4 linked regions of the Canis lupus familiaris genome follow. The protein of the gene in region 1 purifies or fractionates together with the protein of each later gene. This does not show direct contact. Links are inferred from orthologs where the notes say so. Each region holds a gene or a part of one and is shown in the gene's direction. Other genes may lie near its edges.

The links.
Region 2: the proteins of TRIM47 (region 1) and SATB1 purify together in Homo sapiens (affinity purification with mass spectrometry; 4 studies listed by BioGRID and IntAct, with this or other methods). This does not show direct contact. The link is inferred for Canis lupus familiaris from reciprocal best matches to the Homo sapiens genes TRIM47 and SATB1.
Region 3: the proteins of TRIM47 (region 1) and PPM1A purify together in Homo sapiens (affinity purification with western blotting; 3 studies listed by BioGRID, with this or other methods). This does not show direct contact. The link is inferred for Canis lupus familiaris from reciprocal best matches to the Homo sapiens genes TRIM47 and PPM1A.
Region 4: the proteins of TRIM47 (region 1) and FBP1 purify together in Homo sapiens (affinity purification with western blotting; 3 studies listed by BioGRID). This does not show direct contact. The link is inferred for Canis lupus familiaris from reciprocal best matches to the Homo sapiens genes TRIM47 and FBP1.

Annotation. Positions count from the first base shown.
Region 1 is NC_049230.1:5,605,198-5,610,180, forward strand, and holds the start of TRIM47 (E3 ubiquitin-protein ligase TRIM47), read left to right. Parts: upstream 1-1,641; 5' UTR 1,642-1,654; coding exon 1,655-2,347; intron 2,348-3,426; coding exon 3,427-3,522; intron 3,523-3,792; coding exon 3,793-4,023; intron 4,024-4,195; coding exon 4,196-4,394; intron 4,395-4,831; coding exon 4,832-4,906; intron 4,907-4,983. UniProt on the Homo sapiens protein: E3 ubiquitin-protein ligase that mediates the ubiquitination and proteasomal degradation of CYLD.
Region 2 is NC_049244.1:25,106,285-25,111,343, forward strand, and holds the start of SATB1 (DNA-binding protein SATB1), read left to right. Parts: upstream 1-1,535; 5' UTR 1,536-1,694; intron 1,695-1,975; exon of another isoform or gene 1,976-3,103; intron 3,104-5,059. UniProt on the Homo sapiens protein: Crucial silencing factor contributing to the initiation of X inactivation mediated by Xist RNA that occurs during embryogenesis and in lymphoma.
Region 3 is NC_049229.1:35,616,647-35,621,593, forward strand, and holds the start of PPM1A (protein phosphatase 1A), read left to right. Parts: upstream 1-1,595; 5' UTR 1,596-1,666; coding exon 1,667-1,865; intron 1,866-2,311; exon of another isoform or gene 2,312-3,624; intron 3,625-4,947. UniProt on the Homo sapiens protein: Enzyme with a broad specificity. Negatively regulates TGF-beta signaling through dephosphorylating SMAD2 and SMAD3, resulting in their dissociation from SMAD4, nuclear export of the SMADs and termination of the TGF-beta-mediated signaling.
Region 4 is NC_049222.1:72,702,685-72,707,136, forward strand, and holds part of FBP1 (fructose-1,6-bisphosphatase 1), read left to right. Parts: intron 1-2,509; coding exon 2,510-2,650; intron 2,651-4,452. UniProt on the Homo sapiens protein: Catalyzes the hydrolysis of fructose 1,6-bisphosphate to fructose 6-phosphate in the presence of divalent cations, acting as a rate-limiting enzyme in gluconeogenesis. Plays a role in regulating glucose sensing and insulin secretion of pancreatic beta-cells.

The DNA of each region.
Region 1 (4,983 bases):
GTTAACATCTTACATAATTATGGTGCATTTGTCACAATTAAGAGCCAGTATTGATACATTACATTAACTACAGTCCATAATTTATTCAAATCTCCCTACTAGTTTTTCCTTAATGTCTTTTCTGTCTCAGAAATGCATCCAGAACACATATAACATTACTCATCATATCTACTGAGGCTCTTCATGGCTGGGACAGTTTCTCAGACTTGACCCCCTACTATTTGTGTGGGGGGGGGGGCATTTTTTTGAAGGTTTTGAGGAGTATTGGCCAGGTATTTTGTAGACTGTCCCTCCACTGGGATTTGTGTGATGTTTTAATCATGATTAGACTGGGCTATGGGTTTTGGAGAGGAAGACCATCCTATACAGGGTGCTTAGTGTCAACATGACTTATCACTATTGACAGTGACCTTGATCACCTGGCTGAGGTCCTGCTTGCCAGGCTTCACCACTATAAAGTGATTCTTTTTTTTTCTTTAAGATTTTATTTATTTATTCATGAGAGACACAGAGAGAGAGGCAGAGGGAGAAGCAGGCTCCCCGCCCAGAGCCCAATGTGGGACTCAATCCTGGCACACAACACTCAACTGCTGAGCCACCCAGGCATCCCTATAAAGTGATTCTTTAGCTCCCTTTGGAAGAAAGTCACTGTGCACAGCCCACGTTTAAGAAGTAGGAAACTAGGCCATCTTGGAGTATGTATAACAGTTATTTTGAATTCTTCTGAATGGGAGATTCGCCTGTGCTCCTCTGTTTATTTACCCATTCATTTATTTACATCAGTATGCACTCACGGGTGTTTATTTTATACTTTGGGTTATAAGCCAATACTACTTTATTTTGTTGCCATTTTTTTTTAAAACAACATTATTAAGTGCATGGCTGGACAAGCCTTAAATGCCTCCGCTGGGGGAGCCCATACCTCAAGCCCCAGGCACAAGTGCCTGCGCCCCAGGGTCCTGGAGGGAAACTGAATTATCTCAGACAAGGGACTGGGAGGGTGACGTCGACTTCCCGTTTCAAGTTTAGAAAAGCCCGAGTTCCCCACAGGGGTAAATAGAGTCGCTAAGGGGCAAAAACAAGCGCACATCAGCGGTTCATTTTCAACAGCTCAGGAACTTTGCTAACAAGGGCGGCGGGGGGCAGCCCCGGTGGCTCAGCGGTTTAGCGCCGCCTTCAGCCCGGGGTGTGATCCTGGAGACCCGGGACCTGGAGACCTGGAGACCTGCTTCTCCCTCTGCTTGTGTCTCTGACTCTTTCTCTCTCTCTGTGTCTCTATGAATAAATAAATAAAATATTAAAAAAAAAAAAAAACAAGGGCGGCGGGGAGGTCTGGAGCCCGGGGCGGCCTTGAGGGGAGATGAGGGGTGCCGGAGGGGTGCACTCCCCCCCACCCCGGCTCCCTCCCAGTGTGCCGCCCTCCCCTTGGACCGGGAGGCACGGTCGTCCAGGGGCCCCTGGGGGTCACACGGGGCCGGGGCCGCGCGCGCAGCCTGGGCTGGGGCCGGTGTCCCGGGCCCCGGGGGCGGGCCGAGCGGGGGACGGAAGGGGGCTGGACCCTTGGCCCGGGTCCCGGGGGCGGGGCCGCAGCGCGCGGGCCGGGGCCCTCCCTGGGCGGGAGCAGAGCAGGCGGCGCCCGGGCGGCCGCGGAGCTATGGACGGCAGCGGGCCCTTCGGCTGCCCCATCTGCCTGGAGCCGCTCCGGGAGCCGGTGACGCTGCCCTGCGGCCACAACTTCTGCCTGGCCTGCCTGGGCGCGCTCTGGCCGCACCGCGGCGCGGGTGGCACCGGCGGGCCCGGAGGCGCGGCCCGCTGCCCGCTGTGCCAGGAGCCCTTCCCCGACGGCCTGCAGCTCCGCAAGAACCACACGCTGTCCGAGCTGCTGCAGCTCCGCCAGGGCTCGGGCTCCGCGCCCGGGCCCGGCCCGGCCCCGGCCCCGGCCCCGGCCCCGGCCCCGGCCCCGGAGCCCACGCCGCCCAGCGCGCCGCCCAGCGCCCCGGAGCCCTCGGCTCCCTGCGCGCCCGAGCCCTGGCCCGGCGGCGAAGAGCCGGTGCGCTGCGACGCGTGCCCCGAGGGCGCCGCCCTGCCCGCCGCGCTGTCCTGCCTCTCCTGCCTCGCCTCCTTCTGCCCCGCGCACCTGGGCCCGCACGACCGCAGCCCCGCGCTGCGCGGACACCGCCTGGTGCCGCCGCTGCGCCGGCTGGAGGAGAGCCTGTGCCCGCGCCACCTGCGGCCGCTCGAGCGCTACTGCCGCGCCGAGCGCGTGTGCCTGTGCGAGGCCTGCGCCGCCCAGGAGCACCGGGGCCACGAACTCGTGCCGCTGGAGCAGGAGCGCGCGCTCCAGGAGGTGGGCGCAGGCAGCCGGGGCGGGGTGGGGGGTGCCAGGGCGGGCGAGGGCCGAGCGGGGGTGGGGGGAGCCATGGATCCAGCCCCCTGCCCTTCCCTGGTAGGGCCCTAATGCTCGCTAACCTGGCCCTTTGGCGTCCTTTCCAATACTGACAATGTCACCCATCCATCCACTCGCTGTGGGACGTTCCGCTCGAGTTGGGAATGGGGGTTGGAGGAGCCCAGAGGGAACGCAAGAAGGACTGGAAGGGCAAGCAGGGGCCTGAAGCCCGGTCCAGCGACAGGGAGCAGTCAGGACCGCGGGGGTCCGGGCCCGCGGGGGTCCCCGCCTGCTGATTCTGGCCTCGCCGCTGCCTTGAGCTGGGCAGGCTTCTTGGCGGTCCCAGGTCGCATTTGGCCTGGGCTGAGGCATCGGGTTTAGATGGGTGTGGCAGGCGACAGGAGTGTGGCAGAGGGTGGACCTAGCATACAGACCGCTCTTGTCCAGCTGTTCCGGGGCCGTGGAGGGAGCATGTGCTCTCAGGCCGTCAACCACCTCCACCCCCAGTTTCCTTTGGCCTCCAGCCCGGTCTTGGCGCCTCTGGCCTTGGGATTTTCCGTCTCTCCTGCCTGGAGCAGTGACTCATAAGACCCAGGGGATTTGCCCGGAATCCCCATTTTTCAGGCCTGGAATGGGGATACAGACTCTTGGGGGACAGTGATCCCCGAGACAGCTGAATGCCCTCTGTGCAGCACCTACCCCACTCTCTCTGCCTCGTCCTCACTGAAGGAAGTTCTCCAGCGAGTTCAGCAACATTGAGGAGCAGGGATGGCCCTGTGCTTGCCCATTGGTCAGAGAGGCGAGGCACAGAGCCCACAAACCTGCCCAGCCTGTGCTCTCCCCAGACATTTGGGAATGGCACCCTCCTGGGCTCCAAGCACCTCTGGCATATTATGGGATGTCATGGCCACTCCCAGTCCCACCTGTGCACACATACCACTCCCGGGTCATCCCTCTTCTCCCCCTTGGTGAAGCCTGGTAGCCCAGAGTAGGGCTGTGGCCACTGCAGGCCCCATGCTGATTAAGAGTATCACCCACAGGCGGACCAATCCAAAGTCCTGAGTGCCGTGGAGGATCGCATGGATGAGCTGGGCGCTGGCATTGCACTGTCCCGGCGCACGGTGGCCCTCATCAAGGTCGGACCCCACGCTGACCCCGTCCCCGTGCAGTCCTGCAACAGGCTCCTGGCAATGAGCTTGTAGCATGCTATGGTCCTCTCCAAAGAGGCCTGTGCGCAGGGCACTGTCTGGTCCTGCTGAGCATGAGCGGCTCCTCTGACCTGGCACATAGATCCAGGACAGCCAGGGCTGGTCCCTCTGTCCCCGCAAGAGGGCAGGGTGGGAAGGATGGGGCCAGAATCACACTGCTCTTGCCCTCATCCTTGTCCCTTGTGTCGTCCCGAGCAGAGCGCAGCCTTGGCAGAGCGGGAGAAGGTGAGCCGACTGTTCACCGAGGCTGCGGCCATCCTGCAGGGCTTCCAGACAGAGGTGCTGGGCTTCATCGAGGAGGGGGAGGCCACCATGCTGGGCCGCTCCCAGGGTGACCTGCGGCGCCAGGAGGAACAGCGCAGTAGGCTGAGCCGGGCCCGCCACAACCTCAGTCAGGTCCCCGAGGCCGACTCGGTCAGCTTCCTGCAGGTAAGTACAGCTCTCCTGGGCCAGAGAGGGCACGGGAGGGGGTCAGGCAAGGAGTGGGGAGGGCTTGCGGGGCTGCCTGGGCTCCGGGGCTGTGCCATCGTCCCACAGGGCTCTCCCCGCAGCCCAAGGAGCTGGAACCAGCAACGCCTCACTAGTCATTTCTCTGGCACAGGAGCTCCTGGCATTGAGGCTGGCCCTGGAGGAGGGGTGCGGCCCTGGGCCCGGCCCCCCGAGGGAGCTCAGCTTCACAAAATCCTCCCAAGCCGTGCGGGCGGTTAGAGATGTGCTGGCAGCGGCCTGTGCCAGCCAGTGGGAGCAGCTGCGGGGGTTGGGCGGTGATGAAGACGAGTTGCAGAAGTTGGGCACAGAAGGTGGGTGCCCCCCAAGTGACTCACCCTTCCCCAGTCTCCCCACACAGGGCCCCAGGCCTGGCACCCGTTCAGGAGTGGAAGATGGAAACTGTGTGCCTGGCACAGGGTGGGCCCCAACTCCTACTGGCGAGCGAGGCCACCGATCCGGCCCCTGCGGCCACAGCCCGAAGGATCGGGGGGTCAAGGGAGCCCCTCCTGCCCTGCCCTTGAGTTTCAGAGGGGCTGAGCGGGGAGGGGGTGGAGCAGGGGCAGAACCCAAGGACCAGGCTTGCATGTGAGGACGGAGTCCCATATTTGGGTGTGTGCCTGTGCCCGGGTATTGGCCCGGAGGATGCAGAAGGAGAGGGATTTTGGTCACAGGCTCAGGGGAGAAGCACCTTGCATCCCTGCCCAGCCACAGGCAGCTGGAGAGAACCTCTCCCCTGTCTCTTCTGCAGCAGATGCCGAGTCCCAAGACCCTGATAGCACCAACAACGTGGAGAGTGAGGCTCCCAGGGATTACTTCCTCAAGTGTAAGTGGACGCCTGGGCTCTCCCCTCTGCCCGCACCAGGCCCTCCGAAGGCTGCTGGGCTGGGCCCTACTGCACAA
Region 2 (5,059 bases), on another chromosome or scaffold:
TGGGTGGGGGTGGTGGGGGGTGGGGGTGGGGGTGGGGGTGGGGGTGGGGGGGGTGGAGGATGGCTGGATGAGAGGGGCAAAGTTGATGGAGTTCTCCTTTTCTCCTCAGCCTGGGGTCCTGAACCTCCAAGTCACTCTGCCGTTGTAGAGGTTTTTGAAGTTTCATTCACCTTCTGGAAAGGCTCCCTTGCCCCTCTTCTCCGCGAGCCCCCCTGTCACTACAGTCTCATCACTTGCCTCCTCCTTTGCTTCCAGCTTCTTGGAGAAACTGGACCTCAGTTTAGGGGTCTTTTCCCTGCGGATTTTAAAGAAGCGGCCGACAGAAGGCTACTGCTTAAACAACCGGGCAGGGGCGCGGGGTTGGGGTCTGCAAGAGCAACCCCGCCTTCTCCTTCCACCACGTGCTCCTCAGTTGGGGTGCAGCACTCCTGGATGGGGTGCAGAGAGGGGCGGGGCCAGGGTGGAGGGCGATGGACCGTGCAGACTGAGAGGGGAGGAGGCCCCCGAAGGAGAGATCGTCTCCACCGAACATGAACGAGAGAAAAAAAAAAAAACTGGCCCACATGCCCCTAGTGGGGAGCGATACACCCCACGCGGGCTGGGTTTGGGGGTGGGGGGTGCGTAGGGCCCGCTCACCTGACTTCCTCCTCCCCTGGCACACACACTGCAATCGCCCGCTTCTCCCCCCCCCCCCCAAAAAAAAGCTCAGCCAAACAACGAACAACAAGAGGAAGCCGCAGGCGGCAAGAGGAGGGGTGCGCGTGGTGGGGGCCCGGGAGAGGTGAGGGGGCAGGGTCGGCGGGCGTCGAGAACCGCGCCGCGCACCCCTCCGCGCACTCCCGGGCGCCCACACTTACCCCCAGCGGCTGAGGGTCCGGTCTTCGGCGCCAATCCCGGCGCGCGCCTCTCGCCCGCCCTCGTCCCTCCGGCCCGCCGCCCCCCACACCCCGGCCGGCGCGCGGGGAGGGAGCCTGGGAGCCGAGCGCGGCGTTGGCGGCGGCGGCGGCGGCGGCGGCGGCGGCGGCGGCTCGGGCTCGGGCTCGGCTCGGCTCGGGCTCCAGCGCTCCGTGCAGCCGGCGGCCGCCGAGGCTCCTCCGCCGCCAGGGGGAGAAGCCGGGGCGGGCGCTGGGGAGGCGGGCCGGGCCCTCGCCGCCCCGCCGGCCAGCCCGCTCGCACCAGCTCGGGAGCGGCGGCGGCGCGGGGTCCGCCGAGCCCCGGGGCGCGGCGCGCGGGGCCGGAGCAGCCGCGGCTGGATGCGCGCCCCGGGGGGCTGCGGGCTCCCGCGGGGGGCGCCCCGGCCGCTCCGGTGCGCCTCCAGACTGCGGGCGCGGCGGCCGCCGAGCCGAGAGCAGCTCCCGCCGGCCCCTTCCCCCCCCCCCCCCCCCCCCCCCCCCCCCCCCCCCCCCCCCCGTTAACATCCCCTCCCTCCCCCTTCCTTCCCTCGGCCCCGCGCGCTCGCCAGCTCGCTCCTCGTCTCGCTCTCCCCTTTAAACGCCCACTTCGGATGGGGAAAGAAGACAACTTGAAGTCAAGTTGCAATTAACTTCCGCGGCAGCCGCAGCTCCGGCGGCGGCGGCACAGGAGGCAGAAGCCGCCGCCTCGGAAGTCCGACGCCGGCGCGCCCGCCCGGGGAGCTGCTCCGGGTCGCGGGCCCGCACTCGACAGCCACCGCCGCCCCCAGCGCCCATGCCTGAGTGAGTGCTGCTCCTTTGCCTCCCTTTCCACCCCCCCCCCCCCCGCGCCCCGTATTCTTGCTCTCGAATCTCTGTCTCTCTGTTTTCGGAATCGATCCAAACTTCTCGGTGGCGCCCACCCCCGGCGCCCCTTGCCGGGCTGCGCGGTGCCCTCCCGCCGACGTCTGGCGGCCGGGGTCCCCCGAGCCCCTTCCCTTCTCGCGTGCGCGGCCGGACCCCGGAGGGGCGGGCGGGGAGAGCGTGGGAGAGCACCCGGGACGGGGGGCTCGGAGATGCCATTCATTCCCTCTCAGGGTGTGGGCACCCTGACACACCTGCCCGACAGACCCAGGCTGGACAAACTCCCTCAGGTCCTCCGTATGACCGCTCTTCGGAGAGAAAAGGGGGAGCCGCAAAGAGCGAAGGAGGCCGACGGGAAAAGGGAGAGGAAGCCTCTCCGTGCGCCCCGGAGCTGGGTTGGCAGAGAGGTGCCCGGCAGAGTAGGCTGGGGGAGCGGGGACGGTCCCCGCCGATCGCAAGTGAGCTCAGCATCCTTCCCCGGTCCTTCTCCTTCCTCCTCCGCCCCCCGCCCGCGCGGCTGCCTGGGAGCGGCGGCCGAGAGGGGCCTAGGAAGTTGGTGGCAACTTCTCCATCCCGGGGACGCTCGGCGCCGGGCGCTCAAGTTGGAGCCGGGATTTTGAAAGCCGCGGCACTCCGCCTTGGAGTCCCCGCCGGAGGTAGTGAGGTGGGCCCGCAGGGGCTCCCGGAGCGACTGCAGGTTTGAAGGAGGGCTGGAAGGCAGGAAGAGGCGCTGCCCTCTGAGCGGGGCTGACACATCGCAGGTGCGGCCTCAGGGTCCGCACCGTGTCTCCCTCCTGCGGTCCCGACCCGAGCGTGGCGGCCTTCTCCGGGCGCTTCCCTGCGGAGGCTCCCGGGGCGGCGGCGCGTGGGTTTGGGCAACCACCGTAAGGGGGACGAAGCAGGCAGGTGGCAGGTGGCAGGTGCGGGGAGCCACACGCGCCCACCGGGGACATGCACCGGGCGTGACTCTTGGGATGACCCCCCAGAAGGAGGAGAGGATCTCAGGGCTTTTGCTGGAGATCTTGGCCCCGACCTCCTCTGGGGCGTTGCAAGTCTCACGTACTAGTGTCAACCACAGGATCGCCTCGTAAAAGTGCCCTGGTTGGCAGCTTTGACCTCTGCGCCCTTCCTCGGCGAACTTTCTCCGCGGCATTCCAGATTTCCAGGCAATTGTTGTAAGACTTGGACTCTACGTGGTTGTATCAGAGACAGGGAAAATTAAAAAAAAAAAAAAAAAAAAAGACGTCCTATTCTCAGGAGAGAACCGTTCTACCCGGACTGGCTGGGGTTCCCTGCTTGCATCCTTGGAGGCCAGGAGACCTGACTTTTCCAAGAGGAACAGAGGAGGGGTAAGAAACAAGTGAAAGGCGACTGGTAGGTGTCAGGTTTTGTCCTCAGCAGTCCCTAAAATCGACTTACTAAGGGAGTAACGCGTGCGATTGAAACTTTATTGAAATTTACACCCTATCTAAAGTGGATTTTTCTGAGGTGTCAGGAATGTAAGATTTATTCTATAGTAAAACGTAGCTGCAAAAGCAAACAACAACAACAACAACAACCGTACTTTAAGGCTGGAAAAAGCCAAGGTTTGAGGTGTTTGCTCTAAAAACCTTTAATCGGCTGTGGGGTACTAATGCTATGATTTAGCAGCAGTCCTTTATTTCTATTGCATATTATTTTAGTGGAACAGTAGTACATTCATATACTGGCTGCTCCAGTCTGCTGGCAAACATTAGCATTCAAGCTTACATTTTTGACAAATGTGCAGACAGGAATAGCATGAATAGGCATCTTAAATATTAACAACCTAAGCATCTGTTGTGAAACAAATTTAATATATTTACTCTGTTTTTCTCACATTGTTAGAAAAGGTTATAATAAGTGCATAATTTCAACTTTAGTTAGCAGAAGTAACTGGCTGTATCTTTCACTACCTCTCCAAGTGTTTAACACAGTCACCAGACATAAGTACTTTAATTAACTTGGTTAGGCACATTGTTAAATACACTTTAGACCTAGTGTATACTATGTAAAACGTAACAGTAGCAAAATACGTATCCTATTTGTGCACATTTTAAGTGACTCTGCATTTTATAAATGTAACAGGCATGTTTATTTTTCATCTCCATTTGACACTTATTACTTCATAGTTTTTCTAATGGAAACAATATTTTAAATGTAGAGCTGTTCAGTCATATGTAATACATAATATGTAAACAGTAGCCATAAAATACAAAGCATTGTTAAATTTAAGTATGGCTACATGTAACAAGATTATACAAGAGAAACAATCACTGTTCAATTTTGTATTCCTTTCTGAATAATGAGTACAAATGATGGGTGAAATAAGAACAGATAAGGATTTCCCTCCTAAAGTACTAACTAGTGCCTTAAAAATCTGTGTGGGGGTGGGGGTGGGGAGAGCAAGAGGGAGAGAAAGGGAAAAAAAGGGATAGAGAAAGAAGACCTAAAGAACTTTCAAAAGTCTGAATAGTTATTTCCAGAATCAATGCATTCCTCATTTTCCCACAAGCTGAAATATGTAATAAATAATAGTTCTTTGTATGTAAAAGTATTCACAAGGAATGCCTTTTGTTTAGTTGTTGTAATAAATTAATATATTCTTTGGTTGATAATCTACAAAAGTAGTTCTTTTGTCTCCCAGCATCTTAAACAAGAACAACAACAAAACGAGTGAGTATTGGTTTATTTCTGCAGAGAAGTCTGTTGCCAGCTATAGGAACCTGTGACTGAATGAGCTATGGTATGCTGAGTGATGGTTAAGAAAGGCTACATTAAATTAGCAAAGACTGAAATATCTGAAGGAGATTTTCAATTATTTTTTCATGTGACAGGTTGTGGATTGCAAATTAGGCCTAAAAGGTCAGGTGACAGGCACCTGTTCCTCATTATTGTAAAAATCTTTTGGTTACAAACACTATTAAGCTAAACACAACATGGATATACAGCAGGGACTCTATAAAGCACTCTAGTGGTTTTTCATCTGCTCTGTAAATTTCCAAGAGGGCCATACATTGATATGCCCTTTACACAAACAAATCATTTCTTCCAAGACGTGTTGTCTTGAATGACTCTTACATTAGTACTTGGGATTGATGAAGTATATAAAATAAATGCATATGACTGAATCAATCTTCAGACCATGTCTAGGCAGGTTGTTATCGAATGCAAAAATATTATTTTTTAAGCCCTTCTTCTTCCTTTACAGCCCATTGTTTACTAGCAGAATTTGCCCATGTTTTAAATAGAAATCTCCCCAAGTTGCCTTCTGTCCTTTTTTAGAT
Region 3 (4,947 bases), on another chromosome or scaffold:
TCCACATGTCACTGTTGACCCTAAGTCCTTGCATATGCCACCGAGTCTCCTTACTGCCTTTATCACTGCGTGTAAAAGCTAGGACCATCTGTAGCACACAGGGAAAAACCTGGCTACCAAGTATTACTTTTGGTGCCCCTGTATGGCTGCTACCCACTCAGTTTTCTCTTCTGTAAAGGATTAGAACAGTTCTTACCTTGCCTACCCATAAAGGATGCTGTGAGGATTAAACTAGTTGGGCCTAAGTGACAGTGCTTCGAAAACTGCAGAGGCAGATACAGAAAAAAAGCCTTTAATATGATGATCATTTCAGCACTGGTTTTCAACCAGGCCACCATCATTAAGGATGCAAAATGTGTTGCAGCTTTCAAAGATATGGTTTCATTTTGACATTTTCTCTAATGCCCATGGTAGACAGTAAACACCCAGAAAAATTGTTCTTAAGAAATCCAAATTTTTGCTAGTCTTCATCCACTAAGAGTAGCTATCTATGTTGGGAGAAAAATGATTCTTTTTACTTATTTCTAGCTGCTGTTGGATTGTCTGAGGGGATATCTCTCTGGGGTTGTAAAATGCATCTTATTTTCAATAATTGAATCAAGGTCCTTTGATTTTTAATTTCGATTTTTCAAGCTCCTTTGCTTTTTGGGCCAATTCATGAAGTTATTTGGCATGGATCATGCCCTTCTGTTCAAGATGGTTTCCTAATCTTAAATTGGATTAAGTATCCCAAATATCACAGGATGAAAATTTAAACTTGACTGACTTTATCAGACATATACATTGAGCTTACTGAACTTCTTGGTCTGTAGACAACCTTTCTGCCAAAGCCTATCTCACATCAGGCCCTTAGCCTATGCTGATCCCTCTGCCAAGAAAGCTCTTCCGTGATTCTTTGCAAAGTTGACTCCTCCTCACCCTTGAATTCAAATGCTATCTTCTTACAAAGGTCTTCTCTGAACATCCATTTTAAGTCATGTCCCCAATCTATTGCCTTCATAGCACTGATCCCAATTTTAATTTCCTTATTTGTTGCTTCTTTGTCTTTACCCTGATTGTAATATCAGATCCTTTTGCCCCTTCATGTCCTTATCTACTACTAGTCTGGCATATAATAACTATCTGTAGAAAAAATGAATTTGTCCAAAAGGATCTGCACCAATGTTGTGGGGCTCTGGCCATTTATAGTTCTCTCTCTCTCTCTTTTTAAGATTATATTTATTTATTCATAAGAGACACACAGAGAGAGAGAGAGAGAGAGAGAGGCGATCATGACCTGAGCCAATGGCAGATTGAGCCACCTAGATGCCCCCATATACAGTTCTCTTGTAGGTGAGAGCCTACTGTAAAGACTCCCTAGGATTTGGCCTGTGGTGTTCATGGTCACCCACATTTCTCCTTAAAAGGCCCAGGAGGGGAGAAGTCACAGAGGTAACATGAGACTGCTGGCTCCCATCTGCTTCACCCTAATGGAGCTGCCTCAGTGATGTCACATAGGACTGGATTCTCTAATCCTTTTCATTCTGTGACAGTGCTTTCAAGACTTAAGGTTTTCATGGCCCTATATGGTGGGGGGAGGGGGAGGGGGGAGGATGGAGAAAAGAGGGCTAGGGTGGGGGGCATACCCCCCACTCATAAAATTAGTTTAGGGGCACTATCCACTAATATGTACTGCTTCAGGAGAAAGTGGGTAGCAGAGGTTATAATTTGGACTAAGCTAAGAAAAAGTGAGAAGAGAAGAATGGGGAAAAAAAGGGCAAAGGGGATTAAGAAAGAACAGAAGAAAGGGAGAAAAGTGATAAGGAGAAAAGAGAGAAGAGGAGGACATACGAAGAGGATATTTGTGAGAAAGACACGTGCAACAGGTAGTGAAGGTGGAGGAGGAAGGAAGAGTTGAAATTCTGTTCTGCTTGGCTTGGTGACTCTTGAGTAGTGACTGACTTTAGTGTGAAAGGATGGATGGCTCAAGTGAAGAGAATTCTCACATACTCCCCTCAGGGGGTCACTTACATATTCAATCTTTAATTTTGAGGGGCCCAAGCCAGGCTGTCTCATAAGTTATTCTCCTGGATGGATTCAGAATAGTAATCTGGGAACAAGGAATGTAACCTTCACTTTTTTTTTCTTTAACATTTTATTTATTCATCACACACACACACACACACACAGAGGCAGAGATATAGGCAGAGGGAGAAGCAGGCTCCCTGCAGGGAGCCTGATGCAATACTCATCCCAGGACCCAGAATCACTGGCTTAAGCCAAAGGCAGACACTCAACCACTGAGCCACCCAGGTGCCCCTGCCCTTTTAAAAGATTTTATTTTATTTATTTATTCATGAGAGACACAGAGAGAGGCAGAAAGTAACCTTCACTTTAAGTTGTGACTGTGGAAGAACAGAGGAGAGAGTATTGCTAACCAGAGCTTCTGATTCCTCACCTCAGCCCCCATCCTCACCCCATGCCTTTCGATTACTGGGCTAATGGCACACAGTTAAATTCAGAATTTGAAAGCCAATCTTTCAGAAAATCCTCCTCTTTGGTAACTGAAATGTAAACAGATTTGCAGAGCAGGGTAGAATAGTTTTACAATACACCTGTAAGAATTATTAAAATACAATTATGGGAATATATTCTCACTGAGGTTTCACAGAAACTAAGAACACCCTAAATACCTGTAGGAGGCCCACGCAAAACCTTGTAGTTCAAACAAAAAGAAAACTTTTAACCCTATTGTTTCCAATGTCCTTTCCTCCCTTCTAAATAGTGGGGTTTTGCCCATAGCATAGTATTTCAGGAACATAATGTTCAATATAATATAATAATAAGGAAGGGGGTATTATAATATCAAACATATTTATTCAGACAATATTAAGATATCTTTGTTCCAAACTTTTCCATGGTTATCTTATAACCCATGAGATTCCTAGTTCATACCAAAATGTCCCTGCAAGCTGTATCCAGAAATAAGAAATAGTAGGAAGGTACAGCTTTATCAGCAATCTGTGGTACACTCTGTAGCCTCCTTAAAAATCTCTTTATGCTCATGTTTTCTATTTTTCTACCTCTTCTGCTATAATTGACCCAGATTCTCCTACATGTGTAGAACAGAGAGAAGAAAGATGTGGAAGCCTAAAGGAAGGAAGCAGAAAGATAGGCAAGGCCTTTAACGTTCTCTATGGTCCACTACTGTCATTGGCTACCCAGGCTCTGCTTTATGAACAAGAAAATTTGTTTTCCAGGGGCACTTCAAATAATGGTTGCCACATGGGCTTTTCAATTTCAGAATTGTAATGAGTCCACTAGCATGCTAATCATGCTGTTACTTGTCTGAAGTATTAAGGATTTCAATACGGCACAGTTTCAAAGATCTTTGATCTAATTTCCCCCTTTTTGGCAAGTGTACGGAAAAGTAATTAGGAAATGTGTCCTCAGATGATACCGGGACCAAGTGCATAAGTGAATTTTATTTTCACATTGTATACCTGGAAAAGATCCATCTCTGTCTTCCTCTAAGAAATCGTAATGCCATAAACATTGGGTAGAGTGATTTTCGGGTTCCTTGAAGAATTGGCCTGCCAGTGACTCTTTGGTGAAACCGTTTTCGCTTGTTGTTAGGTTTCAGGCCTAAATGTGAAAGGAAAAGAATCATCCAAAAAAAGTCATGTAGAAAAAATTGGAGATGGCTTTCACAGCTTCAAAAACAGCTAAGTGTTCCCTGAGTGACAGAGTAAATAGATTTTGATATAAGAGTTGGGGCAACAAAGTGCTTTTAGGATATACAAAGTAACAGGGTATATATTGCTACAGGGAGTTCTTAAGATAAAACGGAGAGGCCTCCCACAAATTTACCTTCTTATTGGCCAGAACACAATTTGACTAATATTTTCAGGTGTTCTTTTTTTAAAGTATTTGCCTCCTGCACTTAACTATTTGGTTTTTTATTTTTCTTTGTCTATACAAGAGCATCTTTTTAAAACACGGCTTTTTCTTTTAAACTTCTCTTCCAGCAAACGTGGTATGGGTCCAACCCATGAACAGGTTAAGCTTCTGACAAGAGAGGGAAAAGACACCCCAGCCAATGGGAGCTCGTGCTGGTGATGTACTGCTCCCAGTTCTGATTCATTGGCCGCCTAGGGTTTGTCATTCTATCCCCGCGTCTGCAAACAGCGTGGGTCGGTTTTCTGTAGTCCAGCTAGCTAAACTGGATTTTGGCCGCCTGCATATGCAGCTGCAGTTAGGTTCAGTTGCTAACTTCTAATGGAAGCAGCTGATAACGTTTCTGATTATCCTCAAGAAAAATCTTGCGTTCCTTAAACCTTGCTGGAGGTCGTTGGAGGTCCCCTGTGACAGAATCACGTGACTGTCTAACATGTGCAAATAAATACGATGTGGAGCCTGATGAGCTGCAGATGGAAAACCTGCCAGAAACTCAGAGCATATGCCCCGTGCGTGTTATCAGTGGCGCCCGCGCATGGGTGGGTGCCGGGAGGGTGTTGCTGCCCTTGGGGACCAGAGGTGTGCGGCGGGGGCACCTGCGAGGGGCAGTCCGGGGTCACCCGCGACGGCGGCTCCGGAGGGGAGGGGCCCTGGGGGAGGGGGTTTGGCGGCGGCCTGGGCTCCGCAGCGCGTTCAAGCCGCAGCAGCTCGGCGGCAAGTAGGCCGCGACTGCGCCCGAGGCAGGGGGAAGGACGGGGTCTGCGCTCCGGGCTCTGGGAGCCGCGTCCTTGCGGGGAGTGGGGTGTGTATTTAAGACCAGTGGGAGCGCCGGGGCGGGAGGAGCCGACGCCCTAGCGGGAGCTCCCGACTTCTAGCTCCACGGACTGCCGGCTTCGGAGAAGCTCTCCATGGCCGGGGCTCCTGACGCTCACACACCCGGCCCGGCCCCCAGGGCCGGGGGCACGAAGGTCCCGGTCCCGGTCCCGGTCCCGGTTCCGGCCCGGGATTCGG
Region 4 (4,452 bases), on another chromosome or scaffold:
TGAGCCTGATTGGCTTGGCTTACATCACGGGGCCATCCCACACCAACACTATGGCCTGAGCCTGCAATGATTTGGTTGGCCAGGCTGAGGTCACCTGCCCACCCCAGAGCTGTGGGCGGTATCTACAGGAGATTAACGTGCAGTTATCAGCGGAAGGGTGGTGGATGCTGGCCAGGCAAAACCAACCCATGTTCACTGCCGATTATAAACTCCTTGAGGGCAGGGACCTTGTCTTACATATTTTTTTGTAGGCTAGTTGCCTAGTGTGACAGTAAGTGAACGATACTGGCTGAGTTATGGGGGACTCTCTGAATGCTCCATGAGCCCTTCCAAGCAGACCATCTGGTGGGGACAGCTTGTTCCCACGTCTGTCTGATTTTCTCATCTACCACTCCAAGTCTCCAGAATCCATGGTGTCTTCCTCTATACCCCTTATGAGGTGGTAGGGAATAGAGCAAACCAATACCTACAGTAGGTTGTGGCCTGGAATAGGTAGAGACAGGCAGGGTCTAGGGGCTTTCTGGTTTTGCCAAGGGCTTTATGTGCATTGGTCAGTACATGAGCACCTGTATGAGAATGTGACGGATCCCCTTGAGCAAAGGCCTTTCCTGCTGGGGTTTGAAGGAAGGAATTCATGCATTGGAAAGATCAGGCTAGGAAAGAATTCCTCCTAGTCCACGATTCCACAGCATTATTTTCTCTTTGAATGTGTGGGTCATAGACAATGTTCCCATTTCTTATTCTATGAAGTCAGAGAATACAATTACTAGGTGACAACATTTTGGGAAAGGTCATTTACTCTTGCACCTTTGGCACAGGCAGGCATGGATGATTCTTGGTGAGGTAGATCTCTGAGGGATTTTTCTTAGTGGAGAAGTTATTATTCCAATCTTTTATTGGCTCCCAGTTAACTCATCTGTCTTCATACAGCTGATCTGATTTCTCATTGCACTGGCAGGGTTAAGTAGTTATGATAGAGGATAGTTGGAAACCTCACTGGCTTTGAAGGAAGTTGGTTCTTTTTTTAAGGTTGGGTATTGGCAAAATTTGGAATTTGGGAAAACAACTCAAATTTTTGATAGTATGTTTATTCTGTGTTTAGATGCAATGCACTATTCTATGAACACAAACCAGACTAAATCAAATAACTTGACCTAACCCAACCAACCAACCAACCAACTAACCACCTATGTGAAAACCATTTATTAAACACAAGGCATGGGGATGAGGGGGAGAAGGGGAGAAATGCCTTTATGATTCTTCCTTTTACATAAAGTTTGGTGCAAGAGTCACATGTGGTGCACAATAAAATGCAGATTCTCAGGAACACCCTCCCCTTAGAAAGTCTGGCTTAGTAAGCCTAGGCTGCAGCCCCAGAATATGCTTGTCTAATAAGCCTCCCAGGTGATTCTGATGCAGAATCATCATCACTTTGAACCACACTTTCAAAAGTTACAGGGAAAAATTACCAGGAATGTTTTTGCTGGGATGGCCTCCATCTCCAGCATTGTGATACAGATGCCCATACTTATTTTTAGCTATTGGAATCTCTGGGTGAGGAAGGAATAAATGAAATTGGCAGAAATTGCCCATTTTCATTTCTGTTTAAATTCAAGTAGAGACTATTCTAGCTGAAAGATTTGAGGTTGTTTTGAGGACCAAATAAGCCAATCAAGTGTTAATAAAGAAGATCATCATCTTCTTATCAGTTATCAACCATTGATTAGAAGCCATCTCCTTAAGGCATCCCCTTCCTTAATATCAAACTATGGTCAGAGGACCTACTGGGCCATGTTTTTAATGAAACAAAATAGGAAAGATTAGAGTGCATATTATATTCTAAGTGTTAAGTATTACTTTGTTGAATTTGTGTAGTTATGTGTGCATGTGCATGTGTGTGGGTACTGGTGTGTGGTGTAAACGTATTTTTTTTTGCTGTGAGTGTGGTCAAAAAAATGGAAAGCAACTGCCCCACCCTGTATTGACTCTGGAGAGATATTCGAAGTTTCATTTCTGAGAATTGCTTGGATGCCTGAGTGACCACTGAGGCGGGTGCCTCAACTGGCAGGAACTCATAAAATTGATTTCCTTACCAGACTAGCAGTCCTGCAGCCCAGTCTTAATATGTCTAAATAAGGATGGAGTAGGGCAGGTGGAAGACATTGATGCCTGTAATAAGATTAAATTAGTGGGAGCTGGCAAGAAGGCACACTCTTTTTTGAAAGTGATAATGGAGAAATGAGGGAATATCAAATTAGTAAAATTGGAGGAGGGCCCTGATTGGAAAGAAGGATCCAGATGCAGGAAATCTGTGGTATGAAGGGAAGGCTTCATGGTAATGTAATCAGGGTATTACTGATATGTGGAGAAAGGCCCCTCTGGGAAGATGCCCTGTTGCATTAGGAGAGTACCTTGACAATGCATCTTGCTGATGACTGAACTGGAAAAAAAGAAACCCCAGAGAAACCCAAACAAAAGCATGTTGTTTTGTTTTCTTTCTTTGTCCCAGAATTCAACTGATGAGCCTTCTGAGAAGGATGCTTTGCAGCCAGGCAGGAACCTGGTAGCTGCTGGCTATGCCCTGTACGGCAGTGCCACCATGTTGGTCCTGGCTATGGTGAATGGCGTCAACTGCTTCATGCTGGACCCGGTGAGAGACCTTGTGGGAGGTTATGTGCTTGGCTGGTGACTGTTTGCAGGGGTCTGTTGTTTGTGCGAGAAGAGGTATGCAGAGGTGGGAAATGAGGCCCACAGAGGGCCAGAGATGATGGGATGGGCAAGGGTGTGAGGAAGATGGAAGAACCATGTGTATGTCATGAGAAGATTACTGAGGTGAGAAATAATATGTGTCTGGACCATAAAAGGGAGTCATTGTTCCAAGATTAATTCTTTAGAACAGACATTATTCAAATGACTCACTGCCCACTGAGTTTAGGTGGGCCGAATAAATGAGGGAAGTGTGCTGGGGAAAGAAAGCCAGGGGCAATGGTGGGATGGGGGTAAGTCGGAGAGGTCTAGCAGTTGTTACTATTTGGGAATAGGGGCCCAGTTTTGCCAAAGCTTCTAATGTCTCAAGAAACTGGATTAAAAAAAATGCAATATTTCTAGATTTGTAAAACATAGGTGCTAGCCAACTAAAACACATTGATGGACCAGATGGGGCCCTGTGGATGGTCTCTTTGCCACCCACTACATCCATGACAAGCTTGTTTTGCAGACGTGAACAGCTGTCCCAACTGATGCTGTGGATTGTATTGTTTCTTCAGACATAGCTACCAGATCCATTTGATGTATGTGCAGGTGAATGCTCCGTGAACACTTGCAGTTTTGAGAAGGCCTTGATAAACTCAAGGAAAAGAAAATAAAGAATGAAATGTGGATAAGTCCTCATTCTGTTATAAGGAAAAGCTACTTAGTGGAGAGGAGCCCAAGATGCTGTGAAATATATTCATTAACAGCTTGAATTTGTGGATAATTTCTTCCCCATGTCCATTAATTGGAGTTACTTATTCAGGTAGATGACAGTTTCAATAGAGCAGATGAACCGGGGAAAGAAATCTCTTTCACTATTTGGTCCAACCTACAGTAGAATATAGAATTCAGTAGGTGGGCACATGCGTCAGGCATCTGACCCAGTGCCCCAAAGGGAAAAGAATTGGGTTTATCAATACCTTCTAGTTTTAGACATGTCCTCCTATGCCAGTAATGAAACTTTATTTATTTGGTGCTTTTTGTTGATGCACCAAACCCAGGGTAAAAAAAAAAAAAAGAGCTGGCTGGAATCTGCTGGGAGACAGGTGGCTCCTGGTGAGGTCCTGGGCTTTGTGGGCGTGGCAGTTCATATAAACGAGAAGGTAGGCTGCCTTGGCCCTCTGCACTCTTGTACTATTGGACTTTGCCTCCTTGGAGGAACTGGTGCTTAATAAATAAACAAGGGCAGAAGAAACGGCACTAGATGCAGCCTCCCAATGAGGCGACCTCAGGGGAAAATAGTGGCAGAACCAGAGCAAAGTTCGCCCTGAGCTTAGTGTGCAGTTTCTGGAACCACTGAAGTTTGCAAATGTACTGCTCTGCCAGAGATTTACTGCTTCCCCAGACAGTCTTCCAGTGACTTCTCTGTTACCTTTGAGTTGGTGGACGTGTAGAAAAAATAAAATCTCTTCTTGTTTCCAGGTCTTAGACCCATGTCCCCAGGAGTTAGTTTCTGTGTATTTGATAGGCTTTCACCTCCCTGAGCTAATGGCCCGCCAGTGTTCAGAACAGTGCAGGCCTGCTGTGATACTCTCCTGCTGGGGACACCATCTCATTAACCTACAGCTCACCCCTGCCTGCGGGCTGAACCTTGGACCCCCTCAGCGCTTTCTTTTCATTTTGGCTGATGATTTCTGCTAAAAAGACTGAGACAGCTCTATGTGCATCTCCAGCTGGCTTTACCTTTCAGAAGGCTTTCAG